Linked DNA regions of Drosophila melanogaster. The protein of the gene in region 1 interacts with the protein of each later gene in a pairwise test. Each region holds a gene or a part of one and is shown in the gene's direction. Other genes may lie near its edges.

The links.
Region 2: the proteins of CG1986 (region 1) and CG16926 interact in a two-hybrid assay, tested with the Drosophila melanogaster proteins (one large-scale study listed by BioGRID).
Region 3: the proteins of CG1986 (region 1) and RpS15 interact in a two-hybrid assay, tested with the Drosophila melanogaster proteins (one large-scale study listed by BioGRID).

Annotation. Positions count from the first base shown.
Region 1 is NC_004354.4:9,906,715-9,914,160, reverse strand, and holds CG1986 (uncharacterized protein), read left to right. Parts: upstream 1-3,034; 5' UTR 3,035-3,205; coding exon 3,206-3,399; intron 3,400-3,526; coding exon 3,527-3,681; intron 3,682-3,739; coding exon 3,740-4,216; intron 4,217-4,328; coding exon 4,329-4,717; 3' UTR 4,718-5,498; downstream 5,499-7,446.
Region 2 is NT_033778.4:19,497,845-19,504,218, reverse strand, and holds CG16926 (uncharacterized protein), read left to right. Parts: upstream 1-2,800; 5' UTR 2,801-3,166; coding exon 3,167-3,290; intron 3,291-3,359; coding exon 3,360-3,503; intron 3,504-3,579; coding exon 3,580-3,695; 3' UTR 3,696-3,924; downstream 3,925-6,374. Other genes in the region: CG11007 (uncharacterized protein), read right to left, coding at 216-1,031; CG15120 (uncharacterized protein), read right to left, coding at 3,940-4,100, 4,169-4,318, 4,429-4,600, 5,881-6,059, 6,153-6,374.
Region 3 is NT_033778.4:16,567,662-16,574,135, reverse strand, and holds RpS15 (ribosomal protein S15), read left to right. Parts: upstream 1-2,905; 5' UTR 2,906-2,938; coding exon 2,939-2,947; exon of another isoform or gene 2,948-3,124; coding exon of another isoform or gene 3,125-3,130; coding exon 3,131-3,219; intron 3,220-3,287; coding exon 3,288-3,510; intron 3,511-3,751; coding exon 3,752-3,877; 3' UTR 3,878-4,024; downstream 4,025-6,474. Other genes in the region: CG4927 (uncharacterized protein), read right to left, coding at 316-934, 1,487-1,694, 1,767-2,028; CG4945 (uncharacterized protein), read right to left, coding at 4,333-4,977, 5,092-5,578, 5,644-5,826, 5,928-6,027, 6,090-6,351.

The DNA of each region.
Region 1 (7,446 bases):
TTCGCATAATGCGCGCAAATAAATTGCAAAATCAATTGAGCGGTAAAATAGTTTCCCTTCGCGGAAGATAACAACAACAAATCGAAAGTCAATGCTGCTGCCACGCCCACACCATCGCCTGCGCCTGAAAAGACTGAAAATTGAAGCCGGGAAAATAGGAAAGCAGGAACCGAACTCCACTCCCACTCACATGGTAACGCCGAGCACTTTGAACTCGCTTTATTTTAAGCCTGAAAATGGAAAAATATAGAGAAAGGAGGCGTGGCAGGGCAAAATGAAAATGGAGCAGCAGATGTTGGTTTATAATAAAGTATAAATAAAGAACAGTATTTCTATTTCTTTTAAATATTTTAAAAACTTTCTTTAATCCTCTTCGAACACAATTATCTAACCAATATGGTACTGCCAAATATTCCTTAATTTCTAGCCGCTCCAATTGAATTTATAATTTTATTAAAATATCCTAAATGAAAATGGTGAGCCCTGGCTAGCTAATGGTTATGTTCCAGCAAGTCTGCTGCATGAATTTAATCTAATTAAAATCCTGGGAAATACCCCGTAATTATTCCCACTCGTCGGCGACTTGTTGCATACTTTAAGGAGCCTTTAAGCTGTCGCATTGCTAAGAGTCGGTCGCATTACGCATACGCCGCATTGTGCTGCGGCGGTTGGCTTTGGATTCATTAAATGTTATAAACTCATTACGCGTTTTGTCTGCCCGAATGGATATTGGATGAAGGGTGTGATAGGAGCTGAGGTGACAGGTGGTGGGTGGTGGGTGGTGTGTGTTGGGTGTTGGTGTGGTGTGAGTACACCCGAGTTGAACGAGAGTTGTTGGTTTGCTGTAATAACCACAAAACATCTGCGAGCACCACATACTCGCACACAGTTGCAAATGAAAATCTTTGTGCAGAATTAATTAAGTAAACAATACGAAAATTGTGGAAATTGCTTTGAATGCGTCCCCAAACACTCACACATAAGCTGCTTGGCCACACATACATACGTATATGCAAAAGTTATTGCCAGCAGCTGTTGTTGTTGCTCTTGTTGTTACACATTATTATTATGATGCTGCTTAATAGGCAACGCAACTGTGGGCAAAGCAGGCGGCTGGGGGCGCCTTTTGGGGGCATCACAGCCCCTTTGGCCCCTCCCCCCCTCCTAATAACAATCTAGCCATTGTCTGCGGCAACAATTAAGCCGCACTCTGCCTTAATGATAGAGCCACATGAAGAAAATGGCCAAAACAAAGGAGAGCAAAACTCCAAAGTGCATGAAAGGAAACTCGAAGAAAATGGCTGGGAAAATTCAGCGAGCATTTGGGGGGCGGACAAAAAACTTTTGATCATTCATGAATATTTAATCGGAAAAGCGATTGTCCCACTTCGCCAAGAACCAAATTAAATTCATGCATACAAACTATATGCATTTTATTACAATATCCGTAGTATATAAAGTTTTTTTTACATTTAAAGTCGTTTATTATCTCTTTAAAACGCATTTTTCAAGACCTAATGTCCAGTGTTCTTTTCTTCTATCATTCATTTAAGCATTGATCATTGTTTAGCTTTCATTTTAGGCATTTATCATTCAATTTACAAACTTTGAGATACATTCCAATCGGCACGTCTTTACCATACATTTTTTTTCGGCCGAATTGATAGTGTTGAACATAGAGTTGACATTGAGGCCAGATAAACAGAAATACAGGTGGACAGCGGAAAGAAGCTACAGATAGATATGCAAATCGATCGACTGCCAAAAGCAGAAATCGCCAAAACAAAGCCAGAAGAAAGAGGGGAAGTAGAAATGGTGATAGTGGACGATTTGAAGACGAAGCTTTGGGGCTCTCCCAAGATTTAGATGAAAAACAATGGGGCGAAGACAACGAAATTCGTTTGGCACTTTACTTGCGCATCATTAGCGTTATTCTCTCTTTGCTTTCGTTTAACACATATTGGTTAGAAAGCTCGGCCAAAAAGATAAAAATAATACGGTTGGCGAGGGGCGGCAGAGGGCGGGATTATATTATGGTTTATCTCTTGTGAGCTGAACATATTTTATGAGCGCGACATAAAAAAAAAAAAAACAGCGTTTTGGGTCAAAGTTTGTAAGTTCTCCGCCATTTGGGTTGTCGTAAAGGCACTGAAAAAAATCGACGGGCAATCAAATCACTTAAAATATAATAAATATCAGAAAATAAATATTAGCATAGTTTTCAAGTATGTAAAGAGGTTTTTGAGTATATGATGTTTAAGTATTAAGTATTAAGATTACATCCATTCTGCTGACAACTCCCTTTCTCTCACTGCATCGAGAAAGCGTGTGCCCAGATCAACTCCCTCTGAAGTTTATGGCTGCACTAAAATTAACCTATTCGATCCGAGATGAGGCCTGAATGCGCCGCCTTGTCTTTCGGTTTTATTATCGATTTCGATGCTGTGCGGTTTGCTCAGCTGCCAAAGTAAACTATAAGCTATAAACAACAGCCATGACAAGACAGAAATTCGTCGCTACCGTTTGCTGGATTCTATGTCAAGATCAGTGAAGTGCCGAGTACCGAATACCAAATACCAAACACCGAAAAACCCAAAGCCGAATTCCCAGCCGAAAGAAATCGAAATCGAAGTCAAAAAGTCGTTACAAGCTTTTTTTGTACTTTCACTTGTGCAAACACGCGGCCAAGAACGCCAAAGATGTTTAGAGCTCTCGGAGAGCAGGGTCATCAGCATCACATACACTGCGCGAAAATACGAGAAATTCATGTACTGTGCATCTGTGCTATATTAATGTATCTCAAGGCATAATGCTGTTGAAGGTGTTTAAACTAAGTTATAAAATTCATATATTTAAGAAATACTTTATACATATTTATATCTGATCTTTTAATATATTATTTCTAGTGCTCTTCAGAACCATTACTATGCTTGCTTGTAATTTTCCCAAGTGTACTTTTCCATCACGATCATCAGCGTCATGATGATCATCGTCTTCACGGGTCTTTTGGAGTTACAAGCGAGTCGAGTTCTTCAGTAGCCAGCCACGGGGCAAACCATTCGGTCCAGAAGAGCGTGTCTTAAGATCTCGGTTAACTCCCCCAGTTCTTCGCTCCTCTATTTCTTTTTTTTTTCTGGTGTTGCTCAGTGACAGTGAGTGTGCAAGTGTGTGTGGTGTTTTCGGTGGTGCATGACCCTTTGACCGCATGCCCGGTCACGTGAACCACCTTCTGCTCCTTGGCTGCCTGCTCTGCCTGCTCGGCGATGTGCCGAGAATCGAGGCTTTCCACCGCTGGAGTCCCATGATGAAGGCCTTCCGCTATCTCCAGGAGACCATGCTCCGGAATAGCCTGGAACGTGCCCATCTCAATCATGGCATCGTCTTCGAGTGTCGCACCATGTAAGTGGGTGTAGGTTTTGTATTCAGCTTTATTCATCTGTTCTTCAATTTTAAAGTTTTTTCAAACAATTTTATAGTTTCCATAATAAATGCGTATTTTTAGCTAAGAACTTCGACTTTTTTCCAGATCAGCTAAGGATTTTGGTAATGAAGTGCATTTCAATCTGCAGCTTGGAGACCTTCGAGGATTTCGTCGCCTCGATCCTAACAAAAAGTTGGCCCTATTTTTGCACGGCTGGAATGATCAGGGCAGCAAGGATTGGGTGCAAGAGTTATTGCTAAGTATGTATACTCACCTTATCCACATAATCATCATTCGAATTTCGGTTCTTATACCCAGCTTGGACCCTATTCGACTCCAATTACAATGTGTGCGTTGTGGACTGGGGAAATCTGTCGCAGAACGACTACAAGTCCGCATCCATGTCCATTTTCGATGTGGGTCTAACGGTGGCTGGAATCATCATGGCCCTGGAGGAGCTGCGTCCCAATCACTTTCATCGAAGCAACGTGACCTTGGCGGGCTACAGCTTGGGTGCCCATGCCGCTGGATATGCGGGCGCAGTGTTGGAGGGTCAGGTGGAGCAGATCATAGGCTTGGATCCCGCTGGACCGCTGTTCTCGCTGCCCGCCGAGGTGGCGCCCAAGTACCGCCTGGATCCAGGAGATGCGCAGTTCGTCCAGGTACTTCACACTTCCGGCGGCTCCTTGGGCACCAGTCTGAAGTGCGGCCACGCCGATTTCTATCCCAACGGAGGCAGGGCGCCGCAAACGAATTGCAAGATGTTCGCCAATCTGCGTGACATGCAAAATACCAGTAAGTCAAGGCCATCTATATCATAGGATTATTTCAAAGATAAGCCGCTTATTTAATATGTAATCTCGCTGAAGAGCTATGAAATAAGATACAAACCATTATCATTCGGCAGATCCCGTTTCCTGCAGTCACTCGGCGGCTGCGATCTTCTTCCGGCAATCGATGGATCCCGAGTACCCGTTCGTGGGCTACGAGTGCGGCAGCTACCGGGAATTCGCCGCCGGATATTGCGATGGCAACCGGAAGGCGCGCTTCGGTATCCATTCGCAGAGGCGTGCGCAGGGTAGCTTCTATTTCCGCACCGCCCCCCAGCAGCCGTACGTGCCGAGGCGTCAGACCAACTGGCTGAGCGGGGTGGGGCGAATGTCGTCGAGCAAGGTCAGTCAGGTTAGCCAAAGCCCCCTGGTGCTGCGCCTCTGGACGAACAGCTGGCGGCGGCGCGAGCGAGCGAGAGAGCGACAGCGAAGAGACAGAGACAGAGAGAGTGATCGCTGTGCGTGAATAAGTAGTTCCTAGTGTTTTGTTAGTGTTAAAATAAACGCAGCCTAAATGTATGCAATCATTTTATGATGGAAAAGAGACGTGACAGCCTAAGGGTTAATCAACAATCAACAGCACATTGTTGGATAAAGTTTACTGTAATAATATGTCTAACAAAACAATGTATTTTCATTTCACTTTATTTTGTGCTGCGATTCTATTTATAACTCCCACAAACCAATATTCCTTAAAAAAAACAGATGATACTTAAGATACTTAAGCTTACTTAAAATCTCTAGCGAGTTCATCGTAATTCGCCGAAGTTTCTCACAAGAATATAAATCTCTAGAGCGTTTTTATTTTTTTTTTTACTCTTAACGAACGTAGCAGTAAATATTTCCGTTCAATTTGGCAGCCAGCCGGTTTTCGCCATGTTCTTGTAAACTGCATAAAAAATAACAAGAAAGCCAAACGGCCAAACACACATGGAAAAGTCGTTGACTTGCAGCCACAAAACGGCGAAAAGTCGGCTGCATTTAACAGTTAATCGTAAAGCAAAATTGTGAGAGAAAAAGAAAATAGAAAATGGAAAATGGAAAATGGCGGAACAAGAACAAGCAGCAGAAAACAATAAACTGAAATTCAATTTTCGCATTGTAAAACATAATTTTCTACAAAACTTGACGTCAGCTTGGCCCGCTTTTTGCTAAAAGGTAGTTAATATTTTTGCAGTCCATTGCGGCCGTGCCCCGCCCCCGCGCCCCTCTCACAGCACCGGAAAAATAAGTATGTACTCTAGTAGAAAAATCAAAAAAACTATTTAAGTCATATGTTTGAGTACAAAATTTATTTAAATATCATGTAATAAACAAACATTAAATATAAATCCTAATTTTTTAATAATATTGTTATTAAACTAGTTGTTTGAATTAATCAGTCCGCTACTTATATGTTACAACGTTTTTTCGTCGAGTGCAGCTATCCCGTTGTACATTCCACTCGAGTTGTTCTTGCTTTTTCCCGTTGCTCCTTGCCACTGTTGTTGTTATCGTTGTTGTTGCTCCGCCTGCTGCTTCCTGTTTTGTAGCTGTTTTTGAAATTTATGGCGGCGTCGTCGCCTCTGCCGGCGTCGCTGCCGCCGACGACTTCTTCGCATGAGTTATGCGCTTTTTATTTCCAGCTCCTGGCCACGTTAAGTGTTAAATTGTTTTATGCATGCACGTGTGTGGGAGAGAGAGAGAGAGTGAGCAAGAGAGGTGTCAGTAGTGGTGGAGAAAGGGAGGGCGAATAGGAAGCTCGGACTCGCCATTTAATTATGAAAGTTGATTTCAAGGAATAGCGAAAGCGGGAAAGAGAAAGCCAATGGAATGTGTGTGGCTTTTGGTCAAGTGTTAGTGTTGTTAGTGTTGCAACAGGATAAGAAAAAATTTGAATGAAATTCTAAAAAAAAGCAGCACACAGAACTATTATCTAAACGGTCGCACCTTTTAGATTTGAAATGGTGAAATGGTGAATGGCATTTGACAACATTTAACTTTTAAGACACATAAATACAAAACTGTTTACAATTCCTTGAGCCTTGTACACATAATGGAAAATAATAAACTCATGAAAAACTCATGAAATTTAAGTGCTCTTTTTAAACTTATACCGTTTAAGCAGTATATGTGTTTTATTTGTTTTTATTGCCCTTAATTTCTGGGCAACCAAGCAAAGGTGAATAAAGGGAAGGGAACAAGAGGGAAAAGGAGCAGTTTTTTGTGCTCCGCTGACTCGAACCGCTAAAGTAGCACGCGTTAATGCGAAAATCACTTACACACACACTCAAACACACACACACACACTTGCAGTGGTGTGCGAGAGAGACAGGGAAGAAACTCCTGTAAAATCTAAAGCAAATTAACGTTTTAAACACCTCAAAAGTTTCGTGCATTCTCATGGTCCTTAACTCTAAGACCCTCTCTTTCTTTTTCCTTCGGCCGTCTCATTCTTTTCTATCCTACCCTCTCATTCTTTCCTAGCCCGCCCTCTCTATTCATTGCACCTGACGTCCTTGCTGATCCTGGCGCAAAGTTAAGTGTTTCTTTAGCTTAATAACGGAAACATTTTAGTTGCTGTTATGGAAAGCAGCTGGAGAATGGAGACTAGAAAGAGAGGTATAGAGGGCTGCACAGAGAGAGAGGCCAGCAGGCAACTTGAGCGATAGACGCTTACACATAAACACATTCAAACGCTTCCGGCAATGTGTAATAGCTGTACAAGGACGAACTGCTCCTGCTCCTGTGGAAAATGTAAAAAAAAAAGTACTCCGGAGAGGTGGAAGCGAGGAAAGAAAGGAATGCCCTCCAGTGGCTGTAAATAACTCGCAGCAGGTGCCGTCCTCATCCAACGGTAAACGTCCGACGTCCAACTCCCTGCTACGTCCAACTCCCCAATTCCTGAAGACATCGTCAATGGGAAAACCTGCGAAATACCAAGGATAGGGGCGACAGACAGAAAGGACCCGCCAGAGAATTGCACAGCTCGAAAATAACATCCGATATCGCTTTCAGACGATAAAATAGGCAAAGGCAAATATACTTGGGAATTCAATTTTCTAATGATATATAATGCTATCAAATGAATATGAACACAATATCGGCTTTATGGGTTTTTATTGTTTTGCATTTCGTTTAACATTTTTAACAGTCTCAAAAGGATTTACATTTTTGTAAGTGTGCCAAAGGAACATCGGCTAGCGGCAACATTTT
Region 2 (6,374 bases), on another chromosome or scaffold:
ACAATTTATGCAAATGCAAGATCATACAAATATTTTCTACAATGGCATCGCGACGAGAGCACGTCTGAGTTTAGAATGCAAATATTAGTGCAATTGTACGTGTCTTTGGCGGTGGCAGCTCCTCAATAAGTTAAAATAAACTATGAACTAAACGAATAACAGTTATTAGCACGTGCACGCAGAAATGAGATGGCACCAGTGGTGGACAGGACAGCCTACTGGACCTTCTTGGCCTCCTTGGGCGCAATGGGTAGTCGTTCGATGGCCTCCTTGTACAGCTGGTTAAGGCCAAAGGTGGCGCGCACATTGTCGCTGGAGAAGAAGAACTTTTGCAGTTTACCCTTGGAATCGACGCAGGGCCTGCGGTCCGTCTCCTTGCCCTGTTGGAACAGGATCACAGTTGGTAGCTGTCGGGAGAAGCTGCTGTCCGAGATGCGATACTTTTGGGCCACGTCCGGAAAGCGTCCAATGTCAATCTTGCCGAACTTCAGGTGGTCCGTGTTGTACTCGGCGGAGAGCTCAGCAAAAACGGGGGCGAAGTTCACGCAGCTGGGATTCCACACCGTGTAGAAGCAGATCAGCCAGCTGGTTCGCTTGTCCCTGGCCAATTCCTCCTCGAAGACCTGTGCGTTGCGGAAGTAGGTGATGTGCTCGGGTCCGCGATACGAGGGCTCCGGCAGCACCATGCCCACCAGGACGCATAGAAGCAGAAAGCCCAGGCCGTAGCGGAAGTCCGCGTAGGCCCACAAAATGGCGTTGGCCACTTTGGTGTAGAGGAACGACGAGGCCAAGTAGTTAATCATGGTGACACTGCCCGTTTTGCGTGACCGTATCATCACCACGATTAGCAGGAAGAACAAGATTTCCACCTCACGACTGTCCAGGTCGCATGCTTCATCCTCTCCGGCGAGAATAAATAGGCGGGTGCAGATGAACTGCGTCTTTTTGGCCAAAAGGTACGATATGGCCAGGAGTATGTTAACCCAGTAGTATGGCTTGGCCAGCAGAGCCATCTGCTTCTTCCACGTCATCTCTGCGTCCGGGGGCTGAATGCGCTGATCTGGGTCACGATTTTAATTAACAATTTCCCGAGTTTTTCTTTTCTTGCTTTTGACAGCCAATTGTTAATTTTAGCCTCGCCGTTGACTAGAAATTAGCAGCCTAGTTGTCTGGCACGGGCGTTGCCACCTGATAAAAGAACAGTGGCACTCTTGTCAGTGCTGGAAATGGTATTAGTTCGTTGGCGCCTTTTCAAATTCAAAATCATCAATTAACAGTTTGCCTTTCTTAAACGTTCTTTGATACGTTTTATTTACTTATATGCATTATTATCTTACAAGTATTTAGTATTTAGTATTTAGCATTTTTTTTAAATGATAATTAATCAAAAGTTAAAACCATAAACAGAACTTGGGACAACCATATTTGTTTGCCCGAAAACCAACCGAAACTGATAAGCGAGTTATTGTTACATCAGCATTTTGCTAAAGTCATTGAGAGATTGTTGACCTAGCACACAAAGGCCACTGCAAAAAAAAGGTAAAAAAAAGGCATCGAGGATCTTCATTATCGGCACACACGCCGAGTTCAAATCTGCGAAAAAGCTTGGCTCTCTACGTGATCTCAGACGCTCGTGGCTTCCATCAGTCGCCTTATCACCCAAATATTATTTTGGCCTTTTTTTTTGTAGTTCCTAAATTAAATGTGTTTGGAACTGTGTGAATACTGTGAGAATTTTGTACCCACTTCATAGAGCATCACCAGTATTATCGCCATCGTGGCTGACTCTCCGCGTTGTGCAAAGATTAATTTTTTTGTAGTAAACACTGTGCGCGTCACTGGACTAAACGATTTATTTTTAATCGTATTATTGAGACCAATTTACGAGGGTCATCTCCATGATCCCCATCGGATCGATCACCCACCTCTTTACTGGTTTCACTAGTAGGCCGTTCTTTGTTTATACAGCGATTATTTTATGTTCAATACACTGGCAAATAAAGTGAGCTTGCTTCTATTTATAGAATATTTTCAACTGTGTTATTAGTAACCTCCTTATCGAATCAAACAACTTTCTCGTGGCTTTATATTTAAATTCAACCAATCATTCACTTTATAGTAAAAAAAGTATTAACAAAGACACTAGAATAAGACAATAGAATAAGAATTCTAGTGTCTTTGGTAATAATATATTAAAAACAATTAACTTAAAACAAAATAAGATTTTTTCAAGTGCACTGTTTTGTACAACTTGATAGAAATGAAATAGGGAATCAATACAGAAAATATTTCGAAAATCCGAGATCATGACTAATCAAAGTCAAATCTAAGGTGTTGATGCTTTTGCACCTTGTCTGCGCCAAAACAAAAATGAAGTGAAAATTTCAGTAAACAACGTGCACTTAGGTCAGTTTTTAATAATATTATAATCACAAATGCCTTTGCCAGCATGCTATAGTGTGTTGGCAGCCGGATTAATCTGGTTTGGAATAAAGTCTCGTAAGATTGTCAGCCATTTGAGTACAGGGACACTCGTGATGGGAACGAGAGCCCTTCATCTTGGCTGCGGCTAAAAAGCAAAACTGGTCTATAGATCCAGGGCTCTGATAGCCATATCAAGTACACAAATCTACTTCCCAGCCCCATCGAAACTTCCCGTAGAGCTTGGAAACAAATAGGCTTGTGTGTGGAAATGACAAAAAAAAAGGCAAAACCAAAACAATGACAACTGCAACTGATAAGTGGCACAAAATGGCGATCACTTGCCGGCTTTATAATCGCGCTATCAAGGCAGCCTGATCTCCTGTCTCCCGCTTATCACTTGGCGGCAGCTCCGAGCCGAACCGATCCGATCCGAACACGCGTTCTATAAATTCCATTCCCAGCCAGGCGACGTCTTCAGTTTAAATCCGAACCCTTGTGCTGAGTGTTCATCTCCGAGTAGCAGACATAGACAATCGCAGACAATCGAGCAAATCCCAGAAAAAACGACAGGCATCAAATGCCAAATCCATCGTGCAAAGCTAACCATTCCAATTGGCCTAATCTGATTCATAGTTGAAATTGTGATAAAAAACAAAAACCAAAGAAACTGGGACACATTTCGATCTAAGCGAAATATCCCCTATCCCACAAACTTTTTCCGGACTTTCAGTTTGGCCTTTGAATGCTGCTGCAGCAGTGCGGAAAAATCATCAATCTCGATCAGCATTTCACCGAGTGCTGGAATACAAGCCCATTGCGAAACTTTGACTTCATCATCTCCCTTCTGAGCGTTATTTCCCTAAGTGGTGGGTGGTGATTTTAGCCATGTATTTACAATGTATAACTAACTTTTGATGCTCCTCCTCCGCCTCCAGTTGTTAAGATGGCCGCCATTCCACAAGGTGCATTCGCAGCCTGCAAGATTCGCGAGCAATTCAACGAACGTGAGCTGATCATCGCCCGTCTGAGGTCCGCTGCCGCAGATAAGGGTTCCGTTGACAACGGGAACGCCCTAACCCGTAAGTGCACATGACGATCCACGATCTCGATCCGCTGGGTCAATGGAGCTCATACGCATCAATTTTGCATTTCCAGAACGCGAGTACTCGCCCAACAAGTACAACGACAAGCTGATGAACTCCATCTGGGGATTGTACAATCGCTATTCCCCCCACAATGTGAAGAAGAACGAGTACGCCCCCACCAAGTGATGACCTAAAGTGGGGCCACGTTCGCTTCCAGCTGACGTGCCCCAAACGCGACTAGCATCCCCACCAGGATGTTGGTCAAAATCAATTATATATTATATATACACAACTATAATCTCAAGCATATATCGATTTAAACGCACATAACACTTTGGTAACAAATATCTATTTAATGCTGTAATGTTTTGTAAAATTCAATAAATACTTATGATATTGTATGTAAAGGGACAAGACCATGAGGCGTAGTTTAATTTAAATAGCAGGACTCGTAGGTCGGCACCATGTACTTGATGTTGATGAAGGCATCCTCGCCGCCATGCAGTTCCAGCACCTGCAGCGTCTCATCGATCAGATCCCCCAGATTCAGATTGTTCTTCTGGGCATAGTCGATCTCATCGCCGCAGTTTACTATACAGCACAGAATATCCACTTCAATGGAAGTTACTGGAAGTAATCGAGTTTAGTGGAATACCTACAGTTTTTCACCTTAAATGCATTGAACATGGGCAGCAACTGGCGGTAGAAGGGCACCAGGGCGGGTCCCACCAAATCCGAGGACATGACCAGCTGTTGGATTATCTTCAATGTCGTGCACATTACCTCCAGGTTTCGTGTGCTCAATGCGTCTGCAAATGGGGGCGTATTTGGTTTTGGTTTTGTGCTCGCATTGGCAAGGTGCAAATTAGACCGAAAAACTTCGAGGCATTTGCGTGCCAGCCAATGCCCTGGTACTCACTCTTCAGCGGCAATATTAATTGCGGTATCACCGGGTGTATCTTCTCGCCCCCGGCCAAGAGGAGATCCGTGACCCCCTGGCGGGCATAGGTCTTGTAGGGATGTTTCGTCTCCGCCAGTCCGTCGAAGAAGAGCGGCAGATAGAGGCTGTAGTCCAGCTTTTCAATGTCCACCTAGGCGAGATACGGGAAGAGGTGACACCGTTGGCGGGTCAAAGGTGAATAGAGCCGCTCCAAGTTCGAAATTGGTTCGTGTACCGGCGGTGGCGCAAGTCTTGCAAGTGTACATTTGCACGCCATGCCGGTTAGGCGCCCTAGCTGATTTCCATTAAGATGCTCTTTGTTTGCTTACGTTGTCAGTGGAAAATTTTTAGAACACATCGAGAAATGGGCCTGTACCTGCCTATAGACTTTGCAGTGCTAAGTCTAGACTAATCTTTGTTCGAGAGTCTGCTTTGAGTATAGTTACCAGCTTAGCTTAGTTGATTTGAGCTAACAAAGGGTTATAATATAACCCACTATCTTAACCAGATTGTATTGCATATATGACTGAATGACTCAGAATAGGAATTTTACTTTGATTTTAAGAAGACAGCAACTTTATATTTAAGTCAAAGGCGACATCGCTGGCATCGCAGCTGCGTGAGCCTCACATATGGGTTTCCCCAACATCGACCTTCGACCCCGTGACGTAAATCAGGCAGTGTCACTCACATATCACTCTCCTGTCACGACGGCATTTCGGCCTAGATAAACAAACGCACCACCCAAATGACATACGCCGCATATGTGGACTCCACATCGAATATGGAGTGCCATCCAAGGTCTGTGACATTGAACCAGCCAAAGGGGTCACACACACACTCATGCGAGGTGGGTGGGAATTGGTTACACATAACTTTCCGATTGCAGCGGAGTTCCATGGGAAATTGACTGACAGTTGGACGGTGCGACGTTTTGAATGTCAGTAGTCGCATTCCGGACGGAATCGCTTGCCCGTCAGCCGTGGAGCTCTACTAACTCCGGAAATAGACAATGGCATATTATTTACTCGGTTTTTGCTTTCACCTGCAACACTTGAAATAATTGGACACGCAGGTGTACGAAACTCGAGCTAAATTCAAATATGGGCTTTGTCTATGGGTCACCGAGTGGTAAGGTTACCCCTTTCTAGTGACAGTCGTGCAATTTCATTTGATTTTTATTTGCATTGACTCACATTTGTATAGTTGAAGTTTAAGTTTGCCAACAGACATATGGAAAATTCTAGCTATGGTTACAAAAATAAATCATTACCCGAATGTAAGGGCTTAAAAAGAATTAAGTTTAAATGTATGACCTATCCAAATTTCGAACAATATAACTTAATACCATATATATAGTATAATTAATAAGTCAACTAACAACGAACCTAATGGAATTTAGCGCCCTACCAAATAATTCCCACCACTCACCGTCCATCCGATTTTGTCGCCCCCGCAGAGGTACTCCATCTTTATGGGCAGGTCGCCGCGGTCAAAGTACATTCGGAAGAGGGTTCCTCGTCCCGGATCATTAGCCCCACCGGTGGAGCAGCCATTAAGACCCATGCCCAAGTTGAAGGTGGACATGGACTTTTGTTGGCGCCTCAGAACTGAAAATCAGTACAAATGCAAATGTGGGCAGGGATGTCATTAGGGAAACAAATACCGATGGGCGAAACACCCAAATAAACAAACTAACGCACTTTTCGGATTGGGCACCCGACTCCTGGCACTGGCTGTCTTGGGGGCGGTTTCGTGGATGGGTCCGTCGATGACGACCGTGTTCTTTTGCTGCGACTGAATGGAGAAGGGTGGAACGTAGCGCGGACGCGACGAGACCGCCGCTCCATGGATGCCGCTAAGTGGACGCAGTTGCGCCGGATTGGCGGACTTGGAGCGCGTCGGCCTGTGGTAGTCGTGCGTGG
Region 3 (6,474 bases), on another chromosome or scaffold:
TAGTTTTTATTGCTATGGTAACTAAAGTGCTATAATTATGCACTTAAAGTTTGCATTTTAAAATGTATTTTGCTAAATAAAAGCACGGAAGTCAGCTGCGAGCTGCCACATGGCATGGCCACAACTCACTATATAAATATTTATGATCCAATGAAGCACACACGTTTACTTGCAACCAATCATCGCGTATCTTGATTGAATGTCGAATGCCAAGAATGTATATATTCATGAAATATCTTCATTAATATCAAATCTTCATTAAGTAAATGTCCAAACAGTTGAAGTTGCGAATGAGTTGGGCAAATATTTTGATGCCTACTCGCCCCACACGATATTCTCGATCCAGTCGGTATACAAATGTACTTTGGTGTACACACTGGGCAGTCCCTGGACACCGCAGACCAATCCATAGGAGGTGATGCCAATCACTTGCTTCAGGCACGAATATATGGGATGCTGCACGAAGACAGGACCGCCGGAGTCGCCATAACAAGTATCCGCACTGGTGGACCGCGATCCCGCACACAATTGGGTGCGCACATCGATCTTGTGCTCCAGTCGCTGGCTGCACTCGGCCACATCGTATCGATCGAGACTCACCTTGAGCAGATGCGACGAGGCGTGTCCACTCTCCGAGGTGGCGCCCCATCCGGCGGCTGCCACCTGCAGTTGCTCATTTCCGCCATCGAGCGGCAGGCAGGCAGGTGCCACATACTCGCTGAAAGTCGCCTCCATTTCCAGCTCCACCACGGCAATGTCGTTCTTGCGACTGCCCGTGTCATCATCCTCGCCGTACGCCGGATGCACCACATAGTTGAGTACCCGGAAATCCTGCGGCTGGGCATCATCCGTGGTGCTATTGTAGTCCAGTTCGCCCAATCTGACCACGTACTTGGGGCCATCATAGTTGGGATCCAGACGCTGCTCCTTGGTCCTGAGGTAAATCAACAAATTAAATCACTATTTGAGTTGGATGAACGATTGATGTCAAAACTGGCTTGTACCAAATTCCTATTTCCACGTAGGAAAGATTTTGGGAAACAATGTTTAAAACATGATGTTTTTATCTGTATTGTCTTAATATATTTAGACCATTATTTTCTATACCATTATGCGAATTAATTTATGCCGCAAACGCATTAGCGGTGACGAATGGATTCAGATAATCAGATGCGAATTTATGCTGATTTTTTTTGAACTTTTTTTGAACTAAATTCCAAGCGACAAATAAGAGGCTGCGCTAAATAAATTAAATTTATATGTCTAACATATTTTTAATAAATTAAATTAAAAAGTGTAGTGATGTAAATTAATTAAAGCTAGTAGCTAAATAAAGAAAGTTGTTTTTAAGAAAGGAATTTATTGACTTTTGCTTTTGTTGAATATTTATTACTATTCATGTTTGTGTCTTAATTACACTGTTATTTTAATCAACTTCTAAGTGATTCTTCTGATTACTTTAGCATTTCAATTAAATTCCACTTACTCGCTGGTTTCCAGGCAATGGGCAGCGGTGAGCACGAACTTGGGATGGATGATAATGGCACCGCAGTCCCAGTCGATTTGTGATGAGTTTTTCCCACGCTGACCCAGCAGCGCCATGAAGGGAAATTCCCGGCCAGCGGCCTTGGCGCCGCCCACAATGAAGGGAGTGGTGCGGCAGGAAGTTCTTATCTCGTTGAAGCGACGGCATTCTGTTTGGATGCATATATATGTATATATATATATGTATAATATTTCACAGATGATTTGTCGCAGAAACTGACCCTTTTCGAATCTCCTGAGGCCAATATTTGCGGAGAATTGCTGCGATTGAGGTTGCATATTGTTGGGCAGCAGACAACAAACAATGTGGTTGGATTTATCGCAATATTTCACAAAATTTCTGATTAGATGCAGATTGAAGAATATAGACGGGCAATCCGTGGCACTCAGTTCCTTGCACTCTCCAGTTCCATTATCGCAGAATTCGGATAAAATACTGCATATTACTGCCAAGATTAACAGAATCCCGAATATCACTTGCATTTCAGACGACGACTATTTCAAAACTGACCACCGAAAATAAAAACTTGGAAAGTTAGTTGATAAGCGGATAAGTAATAATGAGAGTTTAGAAACCAGACCATAATACCATTTTTTATTATGGGAATTATTGTATAAAGCTGATAGAAGCATTAAGTAAAAAGTTAGCAGAATCTATTAATAAGATATCGTGGTATTATTATTCCTATCTTTTTTGACATGTTAACAAGATTTTAAAACTTTTTAGTTAGCGAATTCACACACCTTGTCAGTGATGCCACTCTTTTGTACCGCAAGCAGAATGGTTGGAAACATCGATAAAATCGAACACATTTCTTCTTGTTCCACCCTACCCTAAAATTAGGCAGACCGTTCGTGGCTAATTGAATAATTTGCAAAAAAAGCATGCAAAACAAATTGATCTATTCATAACAAATATAACAATATGATTTCATAAATGAGTTATAAATAGCAGAAATTTACTTGATATTGAACCTGTAAACAATTTTTATTCACATTTATAATTAGTAAATAACTTTTCAATGAGTATGTTCTTAGAATAAGAAATTTATATAATTTAAATGCCGCCAAAAGTCACTGCAAATTTATAGCTGATCCCGTAGCTAAGTTTCACAAACTAAGCAAACATCGCGAAATATTAATTCATAGTACATATTGAAGATAGAAAAGAACATCCAAGAAGCGATAAATTGATATTAGTTTGACTTATATTTAATAAAACTAATAAATAACTTTGTAAATGTAGAATCCGTTTTTATGTTGTGTCGGTATGTCTAAAATATCACGATGGTATTTGTAGTATATTTTCACTGTTCAGCCGGTATTTTTAGCGTACGTTTGCGCGGTCACACTGCTTTAAATCTCTTTCCGTTTTTGTGCGCAACCAAAAAAGATGGCCGATGTAAATATCTATACAAAAATCCAATGAAAAACTCGGCATCCGTGCGGGTATCGAACAAAATGCCATACGAAACACCATTAGAAGACTTCGTTGCACGGCTGCTGATGTTATTCTGGAGTTTCGCAGCGCGATTTACCGGCTGAATGTGAAACTAATGTCGGTGTTTTTTTTCGTTCTATGCAGCAAGTCGATGAAAATCTGAAGAAGAAGCGTACCTTCAAGAAGTTCACCTACCGCGGTGTCGACTTGGACCAGCTTCTGGACATGCCCAAGTGAGTTGCCAGCCCCCAAAACGCCCGCTGTAATCAGCAAATAAATGTGATTCCTTCGCCCAATTTAGCAACCAGCTGGTGGAGCTGATGCACAGCCGTGCCCGCAGGCGTTTCTCCCGCGGACTGAAGCGCAAGCCAATGGCTCTGATCAAGAAGCTGCGCAAGGCCAAGAAGGAGGCACCGCCAAATGAGAAGCCCGAGATTGTCAAGACCCACCTGAGGAACATGATCATCGTACCCGAGATGACCGGCTCCATCATTGGCGTCTACAACGGCAAGGACTTCGGACAGGTAAGAGTGAAACAGAGAAGGACAACTTTTTAGAGCACTACATGGTGTGTCAATCGCTAATCCTTGTTCCCGCCAAAATGCTCCTCATGCATCTTGGTTAGGTTGGAGCTAAGAAGATGAAGATTATCATTTGAAAGTGATTGACAAACTAGGTAGAGAGCTCTAAAAGATAACCCCTCTCAATGTCCCCATCTAGATCCTAGATCCACACAACTAACACCCCATTTTCCCCCATCCACAGGTGGAGGTCAAGCCCGAGATGATCGGTCACTACCTGGGCGAGTTCGCCCTGACCTACAAGCCCGTCAAGCACGGTCGTCCTGGTATCGGTGCCACCCACAGCTCCCGTTTCATTCCTCTGAAGTGAGCGCTGCTCGTCTTTTGGGCTGTTGAGATGAATGATGCGTGAATAAATGAAACGTACTTTTATAAGAACACACCCCCCTCGTCTGCGTTGCGTTTTCCATCTAATGCTTTTCCAAAAGTAAAGGAGTGGTCGCCACTTAAGAAATGTACGTTATCTATTTATTGGAACTTTTAAATCAGTGGCCGCTCGTCTGTCCCCCTGGGAAGCTATCTGCGCTGTCGCCGGGCGATGTTGTGGCTGCTGGAGCTGGTGGTGCGATCGTAGGCGGTGTCCTTCATCAGCGAGGGACTTCTGCTGGCCGCCACCGCCATCTCGCTGACATCGACCGATCCGTAGGCACTGTCTTTAACTTGAGAAGCATATGGGAGATTAGCGTAGCTCGAGTGCCGGGCATCGCGAAGCTCTGAAAGTGCGGCAAGGATGACTATTAGTGACAATTAGAGTCGGCGGTCTTGTCATCGCCGAAAGAAGGAGCTCTTGCTGGGTGTTAGGCCCGTGGATGTTTGCAGGTGCTGGTTGAGCTGCTGCAGGCTGTGGCTCTGGCCGTGGTTAAAAGCGCCCAAAGCGGGATAAGCGGCGGTGGCTATGGAGGATTTGAGGATGCTGCGACTGGAGCCGCGGGTGCCCACTCCAATTGAGTTCTTTGCGGCGGGATTGGTGTTCACATCGAAGGTGGTTAGCAGGGGATTGTTGCTCTGGGTGCGCTGGTTCAGCCGAGGATCAGCCTCACCTAGACGATTCAATTCGGTCTCCATGGACGTGTACATAGTCAGGTTGCTGGCCAGCAGATCCTGCCGCGAGCCCAGTGTCATTAGGCTGTCCGCGTTGTTCAGCGTGGACGCTGTGGTGCTGTAGTTGGAGGCGGGACTGGCCGACTTGGAATACGCCATGGCCACCTGACCCATCTCGCTGGGTCCCTGCTGCAGTGCACCCGTGCGTGGATCGAAGTGCTTTTGGGTGGCGTCCTTCAGGGTGCTGTTAATCTCCTTTGCGCTCTCCGCCGGACTTGTGGGCTTGCGCAGCGACGATATATGCCCGGGTAGCGGCTCGCGCGAGACCGACGAGGATGGGGATGCCGAATTGGTCTCCTCGTTCTCCTCCTGCAACAAAGTTGGCGGCCATTAACATGTAACCAATCTTTATGCTAGGTAGGTATTTCTGTCTAGTTACTTCACCTCCCCAATAAGAACCCCATTCCTTATGCCAACTCTCACCTCGTCCTCCTCCGTAATGATGGACGACTCTATCCAGTCTTTGATGCGGTTCTTCTTCTGCTGCCGGTCCACATTGGTCTCGATACCGCAGTCGGCCAGGGTGTAGAGCAGCTTGTTCTTCTCATCCGGGCTGCTGTGGAAGGAGTACATGGAGGGGCACAGTTCGTCCGTCTCGTACTCGGCCATCTCCTTCTGGGCGGTCTTGGCCAGCCATCGGTCGTCTAGGAACTTGGTAACATCGGCCAGGCTCTTGGGTCGATTGGAGATCCTGGCAAAGAAGCGCTTGAACATCCGCTGCGCATTCGAGGTGAGCAGCTTGAAAAGTCGTGGAGTTCGCCGCAGCGGCATCATCATAAGTCCGCCCTGCCAGGCCAGATAGCGCACATAGCGCGGATCATCGGAGGCAGCCTTCTGCCAGGGCAAACAGCCAGTTAGACACACAAAAATCACAATGCCAAACTGCCAAACATCGTGGCTGGGATCGGCTCTGGAAATGTGTAAATATATTCGATCTCAAATCGAAGGATTTTTGAAAAGGATTGTAATAGTTACTTGTAACTGCCCTCGGGCTTAATTTCTAATACTTCTGGCGGACTGTAGGGCAACCACTCGTTGCGTCGCTCCACAGTGGAGCCTGTGGGAAAGGACTCGCCGAAATCGCAGAGCTTGATGCGCTGGAAGTCCGAGCGATAGATGAGCACATTGTCTAGCTTTATGTCCCGATGCACTATGTCTCTGTGGAATGGGAAATATTTCTAGGGTTATATGATGCCTCAAGAGGAGTGCGAATTTTAGAAAAAGATCCTTTCGTTCACTTAAGATACAGTACAACTTACTTTGAATGCATGTAGTCAATGGCCGAGGCCAATTGTTTCGCCACCCGCTTGCTGTAAACTTCGCCCACACCCGAATCGGTCACGTTCGATGTGAGATCCCCTGCAATTTGAAGATATTTAATATATAGATATATAAATATTGTTATTATAGGAGTTACCCACCTAGTGGAGCATACTCCTGGGTGAAAACGTAGAAGCCCGCTGTCTCAAAGGCCACGTCGTAGGTGGTCACAATGTGTCGATGGACTCCCAAGTGGAGTCCATAGTGGAATTCCCGGTAAAAGTCACGCAATGTCACATATGGTTTGGGTACAGCTTTCAGGACCATCTCCGTCTGTGATCCCCGATGCTCCACCAGTAGAATCTTCCCGAACCATCCTTCGCCAACGATCTGTATGATATCAAACTCGTCCACAAGCTGGATCTATATATAGATGGCATATTAAAACAGCTGCGATATATGCATAGATGTATTCAATGGGGATAGAAAAACTTCATGGAACCATAATATCTTTAAATTGAAATAGAGAATATTGGTGGGCACATA